Callithrix jacchus: one gene and its partners. The protein of the gene in region 5 interacts with the protein of the main gene of each other region in a pairwise test. Links are inferred from orthologs where the notes say so. Each region holds a gene or a part of one and is shown on either strand. Other genes may lie near its edges. The genes, in order: ZFYVE21, SNX10, TRIM32, RAB1A and RABAC1.

Region 1 (3,991 bases), on a different chromosome or scaffold from region 5:
GTGCACATTTCAGTCACCTCCCCACAATCACCCCAGTGGCCGCAAGCACACAGCCCACGAAGTGCAGCTCAGTGTCCCTGCAGCGCCGCCACGTGCCGGCGGCTGTCACAGTTACGGTTTCCCTCGAGCCCTCTCCACATCTTCCAGTCCTCACTGCCCCGTTCTCCTCCCCCCGGACACTGTCTTTGGTCACTTCTGGGCTCTAAGACCACGCTCCAATAAAATTCAAAACACAAAACTCAAAGTCCAACTCACTAGAATGGTTCCTCCCGTCCCCCACGCCCACCCAACGCTAGGGCCTTCCTCGGCTGCTCAAAACCCCATTCGTCATCCAGACACGGTGGGGGCGGGGGGCTCTGGAGAGACATCCTGCCGCCACAGGTGGGAATGAATCTTCTCTTCCAGGAGGGGCGCCACCTGACTCAGGTGTTTCAACTCCACTGGGCAGGAAGTCACCGCGGGACTTCCACGCAGCACCTCCACAGAGGCCACGAAGAAAGGCCGGGGAAAAGTGCTAAACAATTCAGCTGATGGCAGAAGGGTCTGGAAGAGGAATGAAGGAGGGAACACAGAGGTAACTAAAAACCAGAACCTAAAATCAGCACTGGTGGAGGCTATGGAGAAAGAAACTGCCTCAGTGGGAACCCCTGCCTCATCTTGGCCACGCTCTCTCACATGCCCCACACGGTTCATACAGCTGGGGAGTATTTCTGTGCCATTAAGAGCTCATGGGTGAGCGCCACAAATACATACGACTTTCACTTGTCAATTTAAAAATACATTTTGGGGGTGGTGGGGGAAAAAGAAAAAAATTAAAAAAAAAAAAAAACATTTTGGTCGGGTGCAGTGGCTTACGCCTGTAATCCCAACACTCTGGGAGGCTGAGGCAGGCGGATCACCTGAGGTCTGGAGTTCAAGACCAGCCTGACAAACATGGTGAAACCGCCCCATCTCAAAAGAAAAAAAAAAAAAAAAAAAAAAACATTTTAAAAAACACGTCACAGGAGAATGACTGGAGCAAAGTGTCTAAAAAACTCCATAGGGTGGCGATACCGGGGACTGGACTCGTCAGGACCCCCTCGGTGACAGGGGAAGGCTCCGTACACTGTAGACGCTGACACACTTCCACACAGCCACTGGAATTCTGTCCTGTCCCAGAGGCTCCGCGGCAGCCCTCCCCGCCAGGCCTCCGTTCCAGCTTCAAGGAACCCAGGTCAACTCGTGCTGCTCTGACTTCCTAAATCCGGTTCCAACATTTGCTTAGTTCTCTCACTGAGGGAATTAAACGAATCTGTAACATGCGTTAAGTATGAAAGTCCTGTTACAGGCCGGGCGAGGTGGCTCACACCTGTAATCCCAGCACTTTGGGCGGCCAAGGAGGGTGGATCACGAGGTCAGGAGTTCGAGACCAGCCTGACCGACATGGTGAAACCTCGTCTCTACTAAAAATACAAAAAAATTAGCTGGGTGTGGTGGTGCGCGCCTGTAATCGAAGCCACTCAGGAGGCTGAGGCAGGAGAATGGCCTGAACCTGGGAGGCGGAGGTTGCAGTGAGCCAAGATCGTGCCACTGCACTCCAGCCTGGGAGACAGAGTGAGACTTCGTCTCAAAAAAAAAAAAAAAAGAAAGTCATATTACAAAAGTTTTCTCTCAGAGTTTTTATCCTGGTAAAATCCGCAGAATATAAGCTGGACAGACTTGTTAGTGCACAGCCAGGGAGAGTAAATGCACTCGAGGCCTTCCTAGCTGGCCGAGGAGCTGGGGTGAGGCAAAGGCACCTCCCATCAGGTCAAGGGGAACCCCATGGGACCCCCAGGGGATGGCCTGGCTGGCTCAGGGACCTCACGTCCACGCCCCAACTTCTGCAGGAGTGACTCGGGCAACTCCCACGCTGCCCGGGCCGCTGGGAAGCGGGTGCAGACCTGCGGTCTCCAAACTCTCCAGTGGGCGACTGCAGCCTCGCTTCCGAGGCGGAGGGCGGTGTAGACGAAGGGGAAAGGGAGGCAGCCTGGCCCACAGGGTGGGTCCTGGCTCTCCTCCCGGCCCGGCTTCTGAGCAGGAGGCGGCTTCGGAACCCAGCACCCGCCCGCGGCACCGACGCCTCTCCCGGTTCCCGGGCGGGACCCCTGCAGGGCCGCCGGCTCCAGCGCTTCCGCGGACCACAAGCGCCTTCCCCGCCGAGCTTGCGAGGAACGCGCGCTGCCTTCCACTTTCTCCGGAGCGAGCCCCGGCTCTCGGGACGAAGTCCACACCCGCTAGCCCAGCACGAACCGACCCCCGGGGCCAGCCCGCGCCCGGAGCCCCGCACCCCGCCTCCCGGCGCCCGCCCTGAGCAGGTGCAGGCCCTCCCGCCCTCCCTGGACCTTCGCACCGGGACCCCCGCACCGACACCCCGTGCGCCTCCCAACCTCCCCGCGGGCGCAGGAGCCTGAGGCGGGGGCCCCGGAATGCGGCCAGCCTGGGGGAGCGCCAGGCGGGGGCCTGCTGGGGAAGGCGCCGCCCGGAGGCGGAGGGGGCGCCGCGGGAGCCTGGGAGTCCGCGGGGCCGGTCAAGGGCTGCGGGCCGGGTCCGAGACGCGGGCTGGGTCGGCGGCCACCCACCTCTTTGTCCGGGACCCACTGCGGCTCCTCCAGGCCGAACGGGCTTCCGAAGGCGCGGTGCTCGGGCACCATGCGCAGGCCGCTGGGGGAACGCACCAGCTTCTTGGCGTCGCGGCGCGCGGACACTTCGGAGGACATGACGCCGCCTCAACCTCTCGGCCCGAGGCCCCGCACACGGCCCCTCGCCCAGCTCGGGGGCAACGCCCGCCCCGCCCCGGCCCGCGCGCGGCTGACAGCGCCGGCGTCCAATCGCCAAGCCCGCCACGGAGCGCGGACCAATCGGAATTCGAACTCCGCCCCCTCTCCTATCGCATAAGGGCACCGCCCCTGCCACCTTGCGGTCGGTGACCAATCGGCGGTGAGGGCTGGCCCGGGCATGCTCCGCCCACCTCGGTGGGATTGAGACTTTGGATTGGCTAGTTATTCAGTCACGTCGGTGTCGCTTCGTCTCTGATTGGTGTAGCCCTCTCAGGGCTTCCGGCGCCTATTGGAGGAGGAGGCTGAGAGGGGCGGGACGGCGCGAAGAAGAGAGCGGGGCCCGCAGTAGGTGAGACTCGCTGAGCCAAGCTGCGGGGCCGGGCGGCGGTGGGGTCGGACACCGTTGGTCGCCGCGGGCGTGAGGGGTGTGGCAGGGTCGAGGAGCAGGGGCGGCCGCGGGTCTCCACTGCCCGAGCTGGTTGGAGCAGGAGGGCCTGAGGCTGCAGCCCGGGTCGCGTTAGGGCGCCTCCCTGGAGAAGGCGGGCTCGGGGGTCCCCGGAACGGCGGAAGGCCGAGGTGTGCCCGCGGCTGCGCCCCCGGCCTTGGGCGCCTTCGCTTGCCTGCCTGGGACCGCGCTGGCCTGGCATCGAGGTGGGAGATGTCTGAACACAGTTATTTAATGGTTTCGTTTGGAAAGAAAATCTTTAGGCCGGGCGCGGTGGCTCACGCCTGTAATCCCAACACTGGGAGGCTGAGGCAGGCAGATCACGAGGTCAGAAGTTCAAGACCAGCCTGGCCAACATGGTGAAACCCCGTCTCTACTAAAAATACAAAAATTAGCTGGGCGTGGTGACACTTGCCTGTAATCCCAGCTACTTGGGAGGCTGAGGCAGGAGAATTGCTTGATCCGGGACCTGGGAGGCGGAGGTTGCGGTGAGCCGAGATCTATCGTGCCCTGTAGCCTTGGCTACAGAGGGAGACTCCGTCTCAAAAGGGTGGGGGACTTTGTTTATCCTGCCTTTAATTTCTTATTACAAGGCGTGAATTTTTATTGTTTGAAACAGGGTCTCGCTCTGTCGCCCAGGCTGGAGTGCAGTGGCACTCAGTGCAGCCTTGACCTCCTGGGCTCCCAAGTAGCTGGGACCGCAGGTGCCCCCACGGTTCTCGGCTATTTTTTTCTTTTTAGTAGAGAA
Region 2 (4,256 bases), on a different chromosome or scaffold from region 5:
TATGTTCATAAATTGGAAGACTCAACATAGTAAAGAGATAAATTCTCCCCCAATTGATCTGTAAGTTTAACATAATTCCTATCAAAAAAATCTCAGCAAGAATTTTTTAAAGACACAGATGGGCTTATATTAAAATTTATATAGAAAAGGAAAGGTCTTAGAATAGCCAAAAAATTTCTGAAAAAGAATAAAGTGGGAGGAAGCCTTCTTCCCAATGTTAAGACACAGTTGATCAGTGAAATGCAGAACAGAAAACCCAGAGACAGACCAACACAAATATGCTCATTTGACAAAGGCGCAAAAAAAAAAAAAATTCAGTGGAGAAGAAAAAGCCTCTCAACAAACGATTATGCAGCAACTGGACATCCATAGGTCAAGAGATGAACCTCAACCTAAAGCTTGCACCTTATACAAAACCCAACACTAAATAAACCACAGATGTAAATGTCAAACATAAAGCATCAGAGAAAACGTTTAGAAAAAAAAATTCAGAGAAAACCGTTCAGTCTAGTACTAGGAGAAGAGTGCTTAGACTTGATCTCAAAAAGGCAATCCACAGAAGGATAATCAATTAAGCTTCATCAAACTAAAAATCTTTGCTCTGCAAAAGACACCATGAATAAGGTTAAAAAAAAAGCACATTACAAATTGGAAGAAATATTTGCAAATTACACATCCCACAAAGGACTTGCATTTAGAATATATATATATATATATTTAAATAACCTCTTAGACCGATGAGGTGGCTTTCTCTTGTAATCCCAGCACTTTGGGAGGCCAAGGTGGGAGTATCCCTTGAGCTCAGGAGTTCAAGACCAGCCTGGGCAACATGGTGAAACCCCATCTCTATGAAACATTTAAAAATTATTTAAAAATTAGCTGAGTGGAGTGGCTTGTACTTGTAGTCCCAGCTACTCAGGAAGCTGAGGTGGGACTCAATTGCTTGAGCCTGGTGGGTGGGTGGGAGGTTGCAGTGAGCCGAGATCACGCCACTGCACTCCAGCCTCAGCAACAGACAGACCCTGTCTCAAAATAAACTCATTCACTCACTCTAAAAACTCAATATTTAAAAAACAGAATTCAATTTAGAATACAGGCAAAAGACATGAAGACACATTTCACCCAAAGAGGGCATACAGACGGCAAAAATCATGTGGAAAGATGTTTAATATCATTAAACACCAGGAAAATACAAATTAACCCCACGGTGATATAGCATACATACCTATTACAGTTTCTATGAGGATCCACACTATTTTTTATTTTAGCCATTGTGATAGATGTGTTTTTAAAATTTCCCATCATAGCCTAGCTTGAATCTTTGTAGCAGAGTAAAAATGAGTAGGTGTTAACTGTAAAAATATTTACTTAGATTACAGAAATATCACAAAAGACAGAAGCTAATAAAGCAGAATGTCTAGGTGTTAAGTGAATATTAATTTTTCATAGCTTTGATGAGAATTTTCTATCATAAAAATGTAAACTTGTCTCAGTTTGTTCTTCCTTCTTGGGACATTTTTTTTCTACTTCAAAGTAGTGCTTTAAAGATTCATGTATTTAAACTGGAGACTCATTCGTTCATTCATTCATTCACTTAAAATATATTGTGCACCAACAATGCACTAGGTACTTTTCTATACAACTAATGATTATAGAATTTACCAATGTCTTAATCACCAGAGTGCTATTCAGGACCCCCATATAACAATCTCACAACTAAAATCTGGCATATTTTACATGCTATATTCTTTACAAATAACAATGGAAAGGCAGAATGAATATATCAAATAACCTTCCTTTATTTCCTAAAACAGCTGTAACAAATAACTTAAAAGACATATGACAAGTGATATTACTTGCCACTCTATAGCATGGAGTATGTTTAAATACCATCCTCTGGTGGTACTGAATGATGATTTTTTGAAAAGCTTTTTATTACTTCAGGATAAACAACTGTGAATGAGATTTAGCTAGACCTGCCTTTTACATGACTTGTAACAGTTCATGATGTTGCAAGTTTCTTTACACAAGTAGTATCCCAAATCAGCAAGAGTTACCTTTTCATATCTCATAACACATTAGGAAAAGTGCAGTTAAAATAAAAAAAAAAAACTCGTCTTTTGCAACAAGAAATAATTGGCATCCACAAGGATGCAATCAGCAAAATCTAAAATATGAAAATCTCTATAAGGCAAACTATGTTAATTTCTTCAACAAATAAACTGCAAAAGGGAGAAAAGAGAGAATTAAAGACTTTAAACAATCTTATCAACCAAATGCAATGTGTGGTCCTTATCTGAATCCTAATTAAATAGATAATTAGAACAACCAGCTATATAATTTTTTTTCAAAATAATCAAGGTAATTTGAACACTGAATATTTGATGATATGAAGCAATTGTTTAATTATTTAACATGAGATAATGTGGTCCATTTTTTAAAAGGTCATTTGTTAGAAATGTATACTGAAATATTTACAGATGAAATTATATAATATCTAGAATTTGTTTCCAAATAATTTACTGTGGTAGCAGGAGGAAATAGGTGGGGGAGGGGTATAGCTTGGCTATGAGTTAATAATGCGTTAGTAAATTGCTGAAGCTGGGTGGTAGGTATATACATGGGGGTTCATTATATTTTCATCTCTACCATTATATTATCATCTTTACCTTGTGTATTTTTTGTTTCGGGGGTTTAAGAGGCGAGGTCTCACTCCGTTGCATAGGGTGGAATGCAGTGGCTATTCATGATTGCTCACTGTAGCCTCGAACTTCTAGGCTCAAGTGATCCTCCTGCATTGGCCAAGTAGCTGGAGTTACAGACATGTACCACCACACCCAGCTTCATGCAATTTTTTAACACTGATGGGAGTATTTATATAGGTGTATATTTTGTTTACTGGTTTATTCACTGTACAATCTTACAGAAATCTTTTTATGTGAGCATATACATGTCAATGATATTTGTTTTTAAATAAACTTTTTTATTTTAAACAGTTTTAGATATACAGAAATTATGAAGATGGTACAGAGAGGTCCTATATACCCCACACTCAACTTCTCCTATTATTAACATTTTATATCAGTATGCTGCATTTATCACAATTCATTAATCAATATTGACATTATTATTAACTGAAGTCCATATTTTATTAAGATTTCTTTAGTTTTCACCTAATGTCATTGATCTGTTCCATAATCCCACCCAAGATACATTCATTATATTTAGTCATTGTGTTTCCTTGGGCTCCTCTTGTCTGTGACAGTTTCTAGGGTATTCCTTGTTTTTCATGACCTTGACAATTTGAGGAGCCCTGGTAGGTATTTTGCTGAATGTCTCTGAATGTCTCTGATTTATCTGATGCTTTTCTCATTATTAGATTGATGTCATAGGTTTTTGGAAGGAAGGCCACCCATTTAAGAGGGTAAAGTGCCATTTTTATCACTTCAAGGGCACATGCTATCAACGTAGCATCACCATGGGTGTTAACAGTGATCACCTGGCTGAGGAAGTATTTGTCAGATTTCTCCACTATAAAGGTATTCTTTTTTCATTTCTAAACAAATGTGAAGATGAATTTATGCTTACTAATTCTTTCTTTTTTTAAGCCACTTCTAATTTAAACAGAGCTGGTGAAGTATTTCTTGAAATGTGTTAGAACACTAATCTGGAAGAATGAGATATTAAACTATAAATTCTATATGATCTCAGTTTTCTAAAAATGACATATACATATGTATAGAAAAAGACTAAAAAGAAATATCCCCAAGTTTTATTTTTCCTGTACACTTTTCCAAAATGTTCTGCAGTGAATTATTTTAAAATCTGGAAGAAGGGTTAAAAAAAAAAAAAAGAAGGAAGAGCTCTCTCTGGGACAGGCTCAGAAAAAAATATCAGAGTCCTCACAGTAACTGTAACACAAATGTAGTGCTCAGAATGACAGCAGCATTCTCTAAAACCTAGTGTGTATGTGTGAAGACAATATTCCCAGCTACTTTTCTTTGCTTACAGAAGACTGTAAATTGCCTCTTGTGGAAACTTAACTATTTCTTCAAATAGGAACACTTAATAACCGAGTATAACAGAGACTGAGAAAAGATGTAGAGAGGCTGGGAGATGAAAAAGGAAGGAAGAAGAAAGGAGGGAGAGGGGAACAAATTTAGGTTTTGGGGAGTGAGAAAATGTTTTGTCTTGTTGCTTCCCATTGAAGTACCCAGCATCACAGAATCCTAGATAATACTATTTATTTGTTAATT
Region 3 (4,146 bases), on a different chromosome or scaffold from region 5:
CCAAGTAGCATAAGAAATTAGCAACAGAGTAAGGAGTTTAGACAGGGCTGACTGAATTCCCATGACATATTTTCTTTTAGGGATGTGCGCGGATGTTCCAGCTAAACCTTAGCAGTCAGATGCAGTCTAGCTTTGTTTCTGAACTGGCTTCAGCAACGCTGTAGCTAGTCCTGGAGATGATAGAGCCAATGCTATTATTTTGTTCCAGGGAAAAGCAGCCCAAAAGAGATCACACAGAACAGTGATTACTCTCCTTCAGAATATGAATGCCTTAAGCCTCAGTCCCTGCTATGAGGTGTTTTCTCAAGCCAACGGCCTCCATACCTCACCCCATAGTCTGTTGCACCTCATTCTGCCTGGTAACCTCAAACTCGTCTCCTTATCTAGCCCCTGGTCTTGGTCTAAGAGCAAACCAAGAACAAAGTCCAGGGCTCCTCCCTACCTAATCAGAGAGATTTACCTTCTCCGCCCCCCCACCCCCCCACCCCGCCACCCCGTCTTTGATAGTCACTGGGCAATCCTCTTTTTCATTAGAGGGGAATGGGCTGAGAAAATAAGACTAAGCAGGCCTTAGAAAGGAAGTAGCAAGGAAAAAGGGAATATACAGAGCTACAGAGATTTGGGTATGAGCTTATGTGTCATTCCTAGCTATGGAAACTTAGGCAAGTCACTTCCTAAGCCTTAGTTCCCTCGTGTAAAACTGAAAACAGCAGAGCCTACTTAGAAAGATACGAAAACTGAATAAAGAAGTAGATATAAGACTAAAAGTTACTAGATTTTGAGAACATACTATGTGCCAGATCCTAGGCATGCTAATTTATTTCACTAAATCCTCACAATTCTGTGACATAGGTCGTTATCATAACCCCATTTTACAGGTGAAGAGTCAAGGCACTGGGTGGTTAAGTAACTCATTCAAGGCCACAAAGTCAGGAAGAGACAGAGCTAGGGCTTGAACCCAGGATATCTGACTCTAGGGCAGAGTGCCTCAACTTTGGCAGTACTGACATTTTAGGCAGGATAATTCCTTACTGGGGAGCAGGGGCTTATCCCATGCATTATCAAATGTTTAACATTAACATAAAACATTAACATGTTTCATCTACCCACTTGAAGCCAGTAGTATTCCCCACCCTAACTGTGACAACCAAAAAACATCTCCAGACATTGCCTAATGTCTCCAAGGTGACAAAACCACCCCTGGTTAAGAACCACTTCTTTATAGTCTGGCACAGGACTAAATGCTCAATACATAAGGGTTCCCTTTTATTTTTGTCTCTCTCAGAGCCCAAACACCTCATTCACAGAGGCACCGCCCCTTCAAGCTGTAATGGATCTTAGATAGGATTAATTATTCCACTTATTCCCCTGGAGGTCTCACATTCTATCTGCTATCGCAGCTTGTGGGTACAAGGAAAAGGGGCTTAGGTAGATGACCTTGAATAGTTCCATTTCTTCTTCCCCAAAGCCCACCATTTTCAGTGGCCTGGGGGTGTCAGAGGGGAGTTAGTGGCAATACCATACCTGCCTCATGATAATGGATATTTGTTTAATAAATGAAGAAGATTCTGCCCTTCACAAGGATCACCACACTCCTTCAGGATCTCTGAACTGAAGATGTATCACTTCGTTCCTCAACACCTGAACTCTGCTCATCTTCATATACTCATCTATATCATACATTACTTTTAGGTCCTTGGGTCCCCTGAACTCCATCTGTCTCCCATGCAGCGATTTAAGGAAAATCTCTTCAGCAGTCCAAGACACCAGTCCACAAACCGACTCAGGGTTTTTTGATTCTATAGCCCAGTTAGGACATCTCTACCCTATGATTCAATCCTCTCCAAACCCTGTCCCCAACCCTCTTACAATACCAAATTCCAATCTCTGGCGCTGTATACTGCAACCCTCATCAATTCCTCACTCCTATGCCCCAAATCCCTCGGACATAGATCCTTTAATCCCTGTTTCCAAATCTCTGCTGCACTCAGCCCTGCACCTCAGTTCAACGGCCCAATTCCACACTTGATTTCTGCTCTCCCTCATTCTGAGCCCCCCATCTCCTGCATTCCATCAGGCACTGTGCCGCTCTCAAACCCTGTTCCTTCCTCTTACGCACTGAATGTCACATGCTGGCTTCACAGTTCAGCCAGGTCCCTTCTTTCTGCTAACAAGACAGAGTCCCTCAAGAACTCATCCCCATCCCCTCAATCTCACGCTCATCCCACTCCGAAAACCCTCTCTCACTAGCACTGAGGATCGACCTAGACCTTGCTCCTATCATCTCAGACCCTGTCCTTGCCAGATGCCTAGCGCCCCCAGATTCCCTTAAATCTCATCGGGGGTCCCCAGTTCCTTCATATTTCTGAAATTCTGCACCCAGGTCCCTCCAGGGCCCTGATTCCCTCCCATCTCCCACATGCTGCACCCCATTTCTCCTCTCGGCCCCCACATTACCTCATACCTCCCGAAATGCTTCAAACGCAAATCTCTTCAGAGCACCTCGCTCCCCTCCCCCAGCTGCATCTCCTCGGATCTCCTCAGCCCCATGAATCTCTCCCGAGCCTGCCCCTAGCAGCCCCACCCCCACCCCAGTCCTGCCCCTCAGATCCGGTCCACAGACTCTGCCATTCGGGCGCGGCCGCTGCTCGCCGGCACGGCCCTCCGCCCCGCTACTGTGCCACCGCCCACGACTCCGGCCGCGGTCCCTGGTCCCCAACCCTCCTTCCCGCCCCCTACCTGACCGCCCGCGGCTCCAACGAGTCCACCGCCGCCAGCCCACCCGCCTGCCGCCTTCTGCGCACGCGCCGCTGAGCGCCCCTTGCCGGGCGGCAACTCGCAGAGCTCCCTGTCAGTCATTGAGCCCCGCCCCCCGAGGCAAGCTGGGTCTTGTAGTGCCGCGGGGCCGGTCGGCCCTGCAGGGGTGAGCATTCCTCTGAGAACCCGGGGGCCTTAGCTACACGTAATCCAGTTTTCCGTCTCGTTGTGCAGATGAAGAAACCGAGGCCCACGGGCGAAAGGGACCTGCTCAAGTTCATTCAGTAAGTCAGGAGATAAGCCAGAACGCGTTTCTGACTCCAGTCCCAATGTCTACCCCTTACAAAGCCGTGGCTTCCAGGGTAGTCCTAATCAAAGCCTTGGCACCTCGCTGAGTCTCAGTTTTTCTATCAAAGAAATGGGCCAACGGTAGAATCAAACTTCCATCCTGGGGAAGTCGAGAACCGGGACTCCCTGGGAAGGGCAGTGCTTGGGCTCCATGTTCTGTGCTCTGACACAGAGCTGCGCTAGAGACAAGTTTATCCATGAACACATTGCTCTGTAAAGGAATGAATGTTTTGCCTACTCAGCTGGGAAGTCGACAGCAGACGCAGACGTGGGGAATACTGTCCCTGCAGACAGAGCTTCCCGGGAACCCACACCAAGTCTAGTTTTGGAGAGTCAGGGGTGAAGGTGGGGGAGTCTTACCGGGTGGGAAGTTGTCTGGCCTGAGATTTGAGGGAATCTGGGGCACTAGGCATCTGGCAAGGACGAGGTCTGATAGAGGACTGGCTGGCCATAACCTGCAGTCCCTGAGGTAGTTTGGGGACAATCGCATGCTCTCCAAGGTGACTATACTGCATAGCTTAGGAGCACAAAGGAGTTTGAAGTAGGATGGCCTTGGATTTGAAATTCCACTTAGCTATGCGACCCTTGCACAATGATAAAACCATGAACAAAAACAATAACTAACACCTTTGGATACTTGCTGTCTGGCTATAGCTAAGGACTTCAGGTGCGTGGCTCACTAAATCCTCCTAAGGACTTCATAAGATAAGGCAGCTGGTGGTTAACCTACACCTGTTGTGTAACCTAGGCGGTTACACAGCAAACCTGTGCCTGTTGGAGCCCTGATTTGTACCCGATTCTATCTGGGAACCCACTCTCTTAACCTTGTTTACTCTCTCTCCCCATTTTCTAAATTTCTAAATGAAGTTTGCTATGAAGATAAACCAAGATTATGGTAGTTTGCAGTTGGTAACTGTATTTGAAAAATTGTAATTAGCAAGTAGGGGATAAGGGAGAGGCGGTGCCAAATGCTTTCTCACTTATACTCCCTTCTTATACGAGTTAGGGAGACTTTGCATTCTTTTTTCCTGAAAACCACAG
Region 4 (4,294 bases), on a different chromosome or scaffold from region 5:
TCTCTACTAAAAATACAAAAAATTAGCTGGGCACGGTGGTGTGTGCCTGTAATCCCAGCTACTCAGGAGGCTGAAGGAGGAGAATTGCCTGAACCCAGGAGGCGGAGGCTGCAGTGAGCCAAGATCGAGACATTGCACTCCAGCCTGGGTAACAAGAGCGAAACCCCGTCTCAAAAAAAAAAAAAAAAAAACCTGCTAAAGTCAGATTGCTAAAAATCTGATTGTTGGCTGCCCTTGTAACCTTCCCTAATAAAATATCCCTCACTTCCTCTTACCCTAATTTCCACTAACATTTTTGCAAAAGTTTTCCCAAATTCCTGTTTTACTTTACTCAACAGTCTAGATAGACTACAAATATAGTAGGCCAGATACTCATGTATTTGATGCCAGAAAAAATATAAAAACTATTTCTGGATTTGATTCCATTGAGGTCATTAATCTAGTCTTCAAAAGAAAAGGATGATGTGATACCACATTTACTCAAGAATTACTATCCCTGTCATCTATGAGCCATTCCTGCTTCTCCTCCTTGAAAATTCCTTCTCACTCCCTCTGTTCCTCCAAATCCAATTGCTGCTGATAATTTCCTTTCAGGTCTCTTTTCTATAAAGTCTTCCAAAACCCAGATAGCTAATCACAACCCACCATCCCCGAAATCTTGTTGCTCTCATCAACGACACACATCTGGAATTTGCTGCATTTACTGGTATTTGACATGCATAAAATGTTTATCTATATTCCTAAACTCCTTAAACATAAAGATTATATTCCTAAATCTTAGCACTAATAGAACGCCTTTCATGAAAATTACGCATACTACCTGAAGAATGCTCATATAGTTTTCCTAATTCTTTTATATGCATTTGAATTTCACCACTACCCTGAAAGGAATAATGATTCCAATTATTCTATTTAACAAAAGGGGAAATAAATTCAGAGGCTAACTTGTCAAAGTTCTCAACTAATCTTGAATATCTATTTACAGTACTAAACATATATATAGTAAATTCAGAAAAAGCCCTTAACAGTACAGGTTTATGAACTTTGATAGAGCGGTAAATCCATATTCTTTACTGTTACCAAGAAAACCACTAAATTAAGAACCTCAAGTTCAACTGTGTTCACCTGTGCAAAACCAACTGTGTCCTTGGAGCCCTTGAAAAAAAAATTTTTTTAACTGTCAACAAAGTAAATATGTCACTACAAGAACACTACCGTCAACTTCTAAAGCATAAAATTCTAATAAAATACTATGGTTTCAGTTTAGTGCAAAAGATTTCAGCATCAAGCCAGTGTTACAAAACTTGAAGAATGCATTTTGCAAGAGCCATGTGACACACACATGACAGTCAGCTAAACTGGTGGGTGGACCTTTTAGGGGAAAATGTTTAGCAGTAATTGATCAAAGCAGCAAATAAACTCAACTTTTACAACAAATACTCATTTCCCCCATCCCTCAAAGGCTTTTGACACTGAAAAGAAATACCAATTCTATCTCTTCCAATTACTCATTACTTTACATATATGTAAACTGTAGAGGAAATTTTTAAAGGGCCACTGAGGAGAGCCAACAAAGTCTACCCAAGGGAAGTGAACACCAGTTCCCAGGAAAGGTGCCAGGTGTGTCACATCTGCTGTCGTGACTTCTTGAGTAAGCAAGAAAAAGAAATGCATTAACTTTTCATGACACGTCATGGAACCTCATTGCCTATCATTCCCTATCTGCAATCATTCAAGCAGGTAATCCAAAACCTACATACAGATCTATCATAGGTCCCATTCGTTTCTCTTTCAACTTGACAGCAGGGTTCCTTTAATCTGGTAGTATCAGAAAAACATTCCTTGGCTTTAGCTGTGTGTTTTTTTTCCTTGACCTACAGAAGACAAAATGACTTAAGTGTCCTCTAAAAAAAAAAAAAAAAATTCTCACAAGTGCCCAGGTTTTTAGGAGGGCAATGGAACCGCCGAGTTCTTAAAGAACTCTTCCAAGACACAACTCAAAAAAGAGAACTTAAAAATCGCTTCTCACCATCTACTCATTCCCCTCAATCCCAAGCAGTCCCGAAAAGCATCCATATTACCTGAAACCTGGCGGAGAGGATGGAAGGAGAGGGAGCCAAGAAGCTCAGGATTTGCAAGTAAAGCTGGTTTCCACCCCGAGGATCCTGACAGTTCCGCAGAGTGCGGGCGCAGGGTCTGCCAGTGCCCTCTAGGAGGGCTCTCCCACGCCATCCCCTCCCCTCAGAAACAAGTCCTCCTTCAAAAGTCACTGCCTCCAGGAAAAGCTAACCCTTCACACCGCCTCAGGACCCTCCGCACAGTTCCTCAGCACCCGCCCCACACTCAGGCCCTCCAACCTGACCTGGTCCAGGCCCGGGCGTCTCACCCCTCCGGCCCGACCCCTCCCCCGCCCGGCCGCCCCTCCGCGTCAGACAATGGGGCCCGGCTCCCGGCCGCCAGCCTCTCCTGACCCATCACCCTCGCCTCAACCCAGCTGAGGCTCCGACTTCCGCCCCAACCCTCCTTGCCCCCTTTAAGATCCCTCAAGCTGGCCCACGGACCCAGCCGACCGGTGCTCTCCTGAACTCACTATTCGGGATTCATGCTGGACATGTCACTGCAGCTGCCGCCGCCGCCACCGCCGCCCTTGCTGCTGCAGCCGCCGCCCTGACTCTCCGCGCCACGGGTAATCGAAGGAAAGGAATGAGATAGGCTGTTCCGGGAGAGCAAACGTCTTCCCCCACTCAGTCCCCTAGAACACAATCAGCAGCCGCTGCCACTCAGCTATCGCTTCCACCCAAAATGGCTGCCGGCGAACCAGGAAATAGGGAAGCCTTAGACCAAGGAGCCTTTACACAGCCGGAGGGCGGCCGCACCGCCTGGCATGCCGGGAATGGGAGTCGCGAGTGCGGATACGCGAGCTGAAAACAGACGGTGCGGAGCGGAGGCCAAGACTCAGCTTCCCGCCAAGCGCCGCGCGTTTGGAGCATGCGTACTTGAAGGGTTGTCGCCCGCCCTATTCCCCACTCCCTCACCTCCCCACCCTCCGCCCCTCCTTGCTCCCCTCCCCTCTGACTCGCTGGCTAGGACTTCGCTCTGACTCCCCCTGGCGGATTGGCTAAGGCCGAGCGGCCCTGGTGATGTCAGCAGTGAGACGTGGCAGCTGGGCTAGTAAGCGCCCCACGCGGGAGGGGGCGGAGAGGGGCGGAGAGAGGCGGAGGGCGGTGCCGGCGGTCGACGGAGGCTGGGGGTCGGGGAAGGTTGGGGACCGGAGGGAGTGGTCAAACCGGAGAGACTGCCGGGGTGCAAGGGCGGGGAGGGGGCCGGGGGCGGGGGACACGCGTGGCGGCTCAGGCCCCCGGTGTGGCTTTTGCTGACCTAACCAGCTTGAGGCTTGCGCCACCCGGCTGGCTAGTCGGAGGACGTCCGCTCTAAGGACAGAAGGGAAGTCAAGGGGCTCCCTGGACAACCCGGAGCGGTTCTTTCACTTCTCACCCAGCCCCAACTTGGTTCGGTCATCGTCCATTGTTGGCCCCGCGCACTACCATTTTCTTTGATTTCTTCTTATTCTTACTGCTGCCCCTGTCTTAACTCGTCAGCCTGGATATTGCAGTAGTCTCCTAATGGGCTCTGCCTCTCTCTTCTCCGCCCCAGCCCATTTGCGCACACAATCGAATGTATCTTTCTGAGACAGCACCTCTACCATGACCCCACAACCTTCAGTGGCTCCACATTCCATGGACGGGAGGGACACAGCCCAGAGCCAGCCTAAAATCCAAGTCCTCCCTTCGTGCCAGCCTTCAAGTTGAGTTGTAATGTCTTATTTTCAGTTGTTACTAATCCTGAGCCATTCTGCAAGATTGGAAAATAATAAACAATAAAAACATGCAATTCATCACTACATAATGCCTACAATTTCTGAGGGTATTATTTATTAACTCATTTTTTAAAAACCTGTGGTCTTAACAGCTCTCTTTAATCAGCGCAGGAATTTAAATCTCCACTAAACTTTAACACATTATCTTGAGTTATTTAATTACAAAGGGCATAGTATAATACATTGTCCAAAGTTTATATTACAGCTTCTAAGAACTAAGAAAATTGTCTCCTGAGACTTACTGCAGAATCACTTTAAATTACTACAACGCCAAAATATAGAAAGAAGGCACTTATATCTACCTATACACTAATTACACCCCTTAACCCTCAAATTCTGCCGTGGGCCTTAGTTGATAAATTTTCAAAGGTTATATGAGTTACTTCACATGCTGGCTTCTGAAATGAACACCGTCAC
Region 5 (3,939 bases):
CATCCCATAATATTTTACCTGTTTACCTTGTTGATCGTCTTGCCACACCCCAGGCTCCACGCCAACCCTGGTCTCTACACTATTTCCAGCATCATCCACAGAGACCCACAGAAGATGCTGGGGGAGTATTTGCTGAATGACACCTGTAACAGCTTTATTTTCAAAGGCAGATTCCCTCCCCGGACTTGTGATGGGGCAGCACTGTAGGCCCAAGCAGCAGCAGACCTGTGCAGGACAGGGATGGGTAGGGGTGGGGTGGCTGGCTGGGGAGGCCAGCAGGTCCCAGCAGCACCTCACACGGGTTCCATCTGCAGCTCCTCCCCGTCCATAGCCTCAATCTGGTGGAAGGCAGCATGGGAGCCGATGACTACCAGGGTGGCTCCTGCAGGAAAGCCGGCAGCTCAGGGCCACACTCCTGTGCCTGGCCCCACCATCCACCCCAGCCGCTCAGACCCTGTACTCACCCAGCACCCAGAAGACGGCCGAGCCAGCACCAGCCAGCCAGAAGAAGGGGAAGGATATGCCTCCAGCCAGAGCGTACTGATGGGCTGGGCTCACCTCTCGGCCTGGGGGCAGACGGCATTGGGGCGCTGTTCCCACCCTCCGTGCCCTCTCCCAGAGTAACCCCTGCTGTCCCCCAACAATCTATACAAGCTCCAGGACCTTGGGATTGAATCCAAACTCCTCTGCCAAGGCCCTCCAGTCCTGGGGTCACCCTGTTCCCCTGCTGTCCCAACTCCCCTCCAGAACACAGCACACCATCCTCACCTGCCTCAGCCCCACCCTCTGCCCTCTGGTCCACATCCTCTAGAAAGCTCCTGGGATCCCAGCTTCCTGCTCCCCAGACTACTCTGCTCTCCTGCTGCAACCCTCACGCAGACCAGGGGTCTCAAACTGGTGGTCCGGGGGCCAAATCTGACTGGTGGATGTGTTTTTTGAGATGTTTTGCAAGAATGTGATTTGTGGCTGGCAAAGTGAATGATTTCACATAAAAATACCAACTTCAGGCTTCTCACAGAAGTCTGGGAAATGGGGTCTGCATGCTGGTGACGGCGATGAGCTGAAGCCAAGTTGTGGCTGTGCTTCAGGTGCTCCCTCTACCCGACCCTCCTCCGCCCCAGCCTGTCATGCACATAACTTGCCGCAGGTCTACCTGACCATCCCATCCCAACTGTCCAACCTTACTCCAAACCTTGATTTTCCCCTGGGGGGATTTTTCCTGGCATTTTGTTTTCCCAGTGGTCCTTGGTACTAGTCTGGGAACCACATGAAACATACTCCTCAGTTTTCCTCTCTAAGTCCCAAGGTCTTTCTGGTCACATCCCAGAAAGCCAGAAAAGGGACGGGAACAAATCTAGACCGTGTAAGGTTGCCACCTGGTGTCCAGTGTGGGCACCTGCAGCTGATGCTTGCCGCAAAGAGCAGCGAGGGGAGGAGGGAGAGGGAAGGAGTCACGTGATTTGGAGAGAAGTAGGTTGAAGGCACAGCTGACAGGTGGAATCTGGGTTTGAGGAATTGCAATTTAGGGGGCCGAGATTCGGTGGGAGCATCTGTTTTGAGATGTTAAGGGATCAGGTTTGGGGGACCTAGTCTACATCTAGGCTTGGGCGGACTTGGGTTTTGAAGGACTTGGGTTTGGGCTCTGAGGTCTGTAATTCCAAGAGACCAGGATGTGAGGGACCAAGGATTCATATGGGCAGGGGATTTCTCACCAAAGAGCACAAGCTTGGACTGCAAGGTGCGCAGATAGAGAATGTAACAGGCGCCGAAAAAGACAGCCAGAGCCACCAGCAACATAGGGGATGTCACCCTGGAGGAGGAGTGCAGGGAGGCAGCAGTCAGGCAGCTGGGGCTAGGCCAGCCAGGGAGCCCTGGCCTTCTCCACCAGTGTGCGGCAAGCTACATCCTGGAGACCAGGGAGAGCCAGGTGACATTTAGTCACCCCGCATCCTGGCCAGGGTGATGGTGGAGTAGTGACCTGGCCCTTTGGTGACAAGGTAGGTCTAGCAGAGCCAACCCTTGGGGGCGGGGCCTGGCCGGTGAGAGGAGGGGCCTGGCCGGTGGGGGCGGGGCCTGGCCGGTGAGAGGAAGAACCGGAGGTGGCAGCGGGGCCTGAACCAGGAGAGGAGGGGTCTAGCCGGGGAGGGAGAGTGCAGATGTGGGGCCCGGAAGGCACTCACACGCAGTACAGGATAAGGCCCAAGAACACGAACACATAGTTGCTCTGGTAGTGCTCCACGTTGCGTACGAGGCGCTGGCACAGCTCGCCCAGGTTGCGGGGCCGTGAGAAGCGCTGCTGGTCCACGAAGGTCCCCCAGGGCCGGATGGTCGCCCGGCGCCGCTCCAGCCACTCCCGTCCTGCACCAGAGGGGATCAGCTTCGGCAGCAGGGTCCTGCGCGGGGCGGGGCCGGGTCAGTGGTGGACCGGAATGGAGGCCCAGATCCCCATAAGGGGCTAAGCCTGGACTCCCTCCCGGAACCCCAGACTCCTGGCCCATAGAGGGAAAGGGGGCTAAGGGCTCAGACTCCAGGGTCCCAGAAGAGGAGATCGGGGACCAAGACTTTGGCGTCTCGGGGCTGGGACTCCGGGCACTCAAGGGAGGAGAGGGTAGGGGGCCGGGACTCCGGGTGTCGGGTCCAAAGGGCTAGAGCCGGCTTGCTCACGTGGCGCTCAGCCCTTCTGCCTCGGCATCCTTCTGCTGGTCCTTCGGGGCTGCCATGTCTGCGTCGTGAGGGGTAGAGCTGCGGTAACTAGCCCGGTACCCTGCAGACCCTGCCGGCACCGCCTGAGTCCGGCCCCACCCTGCGGAGCCGACGTGGCGCCGCTCCGGAGCAGCTGGGGACGGTAGTTCTGTCGCCAGGCACTGTGGGAGTTGTAGTCTTAACGGTGGCTGGGAGGGTGGGCGCTATGATGGCGGCCTGACTCGCAGGACACTTTGGAAGATACAATCCCAGAAAGTGACGACGCGCGCCTCTGGGCATTGTGGGAGTTGTAGTTTTGGGAGGGCACAGGTGCGCTGTCAGGAGCGAGGGCGTTAAGGGAGCTCTAATGGCAGAAGCGGGCGTGTGTACTCTCCCGGGGAGGGCACAGTGGAGACCGTGCCGAGCTGTCGTTCTGACTCTAGAGGGCATAAAAAAACACCTGGAGGGCTTGCTAAAACACAGAATCCTGAGCCCCAGCCCAGATGTTCTCATTCAGCAAGTCTGGGGTGGAACCCATAATTTGCATTTCTGAGTTCCCAGGTGATGCTGATGCGGCTTGTCCATGGACCACATATTGAGTAGAAAGATTTAGATAATTTGTGGGAATTGATTTTTTCCTCAAGAGATTGAGGCTAGTGAGGGGGCCATGGTTGCTGGAAGGGTATCTGAGGTTGGCCCCTACCCCACCTCGTGGAGTCCCAAAGATGAATGAGTTGGGGCTAGGGACACCCCCCGTCGTCCCCCCCCCCACCATACACCTTTGGACAGGAGGAAGTGAAGTTGGGAAAGAGAAAGTATTGAGAAGTTTTAAAAGTGGGAGGTGTTATACCTAAAAGAGCTGTGATTCTGGATTCAGACTCAGGAGAAAATCCAGGCTGTGTGGCTGTGATCTAGTCACCTCCTTGAACTTCAGTATCTTCATCTGAACAGCGGGGATCCTAATGGTACCAGCTCACAGGGTTATGATGATTCAGTTAAATCCATGTGAAGTGCTTGAAAGACTCTAATTTTTAAAGAGACTTTATAATTGCTCAATAAATGATAGTCATTGTTATTGCCACTATATTATCCCAGATGTTATGATTATAATTTCTAGAGTTCAGCCTCCTGAAATTTAATAGGAACATGTTAGGGGCTGCTGGCCTTTTGGATGTCCCCAAAGATGGCTAGTGTCTGAGGCATGGGCCTTTCTTTTCCCTGGTTCTCCTAGCCATGGTTCTTTCTCAGTCTTTAAAC

What was found.
Region 1: the proteins of RABAC1 (region 5) and ZFYVE21 interact in binary tests that used the Homo sapiens proteins (3 or more experiments, as listed by UniProt). The two-hybrid records come from large-scale screens. The link is inferred for Callithrix jacchus from reciprocal best matches to the Homo sapiens genes RABAC1 and ZFYVE21.
Region 2: the proteins of RABAC1 (region 5) and SNX10 interact in binary tests that used the Homo sapiens proteins (3 or more experiments, as listed by UniProt). The two-hybrid records come from large-scale screens. The link is inferred for Callithrix jacchus from reciprocal best matches to the Homo sapiens genes RABAC1 and SNX10.
Region 3: the proteins of RABAC1 (region 5) and TRIM32 interact in binary tests that used the Homo sapiens proteins (3 or more experiments, as listed by UniProt). The two-hybrid records come from large-scale screens. The link is inferred for Callithrix jacchus from reciprocal best matches to the Homo sapiens genes RABAC1 and TRIM32.
Region 4: the proteins of RABAC1 (region 5) and RAB1A interact in a two-hybrid assay, tested with the Homo sapiens proteins (2 studies listed by BioGRID and IntAct). The link is inferred for Callithrix jacchus from reciprocal best matches to the Homo sapiens genes RABAC1 and RAB1A.

Annotation. Positions count from the first base shown.
Region 1 is NC_133509.1:138,519,696-138,523,686, reverse strand, and holds the start of ZFYVE21 (zinc finger FYVE domain-containing protein 21), read right to left. Parts: upstream 2,807-3,991; 5' UTR 2,739-2,806; coding exon 2,601-2,738; intron 66-2,600; exon of another isoform or gene 1-65. UniProt on the Homo sapiens protein: Plays a role in cell adhesion, and thereby in cell motility which requires repeated formation and disassembly of focal adhesions.
Region 2 is NC_133512.1:31,753,317-31,757,572, forward strand, and holds the start of SNX10 (sorting nexin-10), read right to left. Parts: upstream 2,805-4,256; 5' UTR 2,724-2,804; coding exon 2,670-2,723; intron 1-2,669. UniProt on the Homo sapiens protein: Probable phosphoinositide-binding protein involved in protein sorting and membrane trafficking in endosomes. Plays a role in cilium biogenesis through regulation of the transport and the localization of proteins to the cilium.
Region 3 is NC_133502.1:165,023,342-165,027,487, reverse strand, and holds the start of TRIM32 (E3 ubiquitin-protein ligase TRIM32), read right to left. Parts: upstream 2,810-4,146; 5' UTR 2,458-2,809; intron 1-2,457. UniProt on the Homo sapiens protein: E3 ubiquitin ligase that plays a role in various biological processes including neural stem cell differentiation, innate immunity, inflammatory resonse and autophagy.
Region 4 is NC_133515.1:48,813,307-48,817,600, reverse strand, and holds the start of RAB1A (ras-related protein Rab-1A), read right to left. Parts: upstream 2,805-4,294; 5' UTR 2,614-2,804; coding exon 2,591-2,613; intron 1-2,590. UniProt on the Homo sapiens protein: The small GTPases Rab are key regulators of intracellular membrane trafficking, from the formation of transport vesicles to their fusion with membranes.
Region 5 is NC_133523.1:36,983,753-36,987,691, forward strand, and holds RABAC1 (prenylated Rab acceptor protein 1), read right to left. Parts: upstream 2,806-3,939; 5' UTR 2,721-2,805; coding exon 2,665-2,720; intron 2,394-2,664; coding exon 2,181-2,393; intron 1,811-2,180; coding exon 1,713-1,810; intron 567-1,712; coding exon 465-566; intron 383-464; coding exon 294-382; 3' UTR 129-293; downstream 1-128. UniProt on the Homo sapiens protein: General Rab protein regulator required for vesicle formation from the Golgi complex. May control vesicle docking and fusion by mediating the action of Rab GTPases to the SNARE complexes.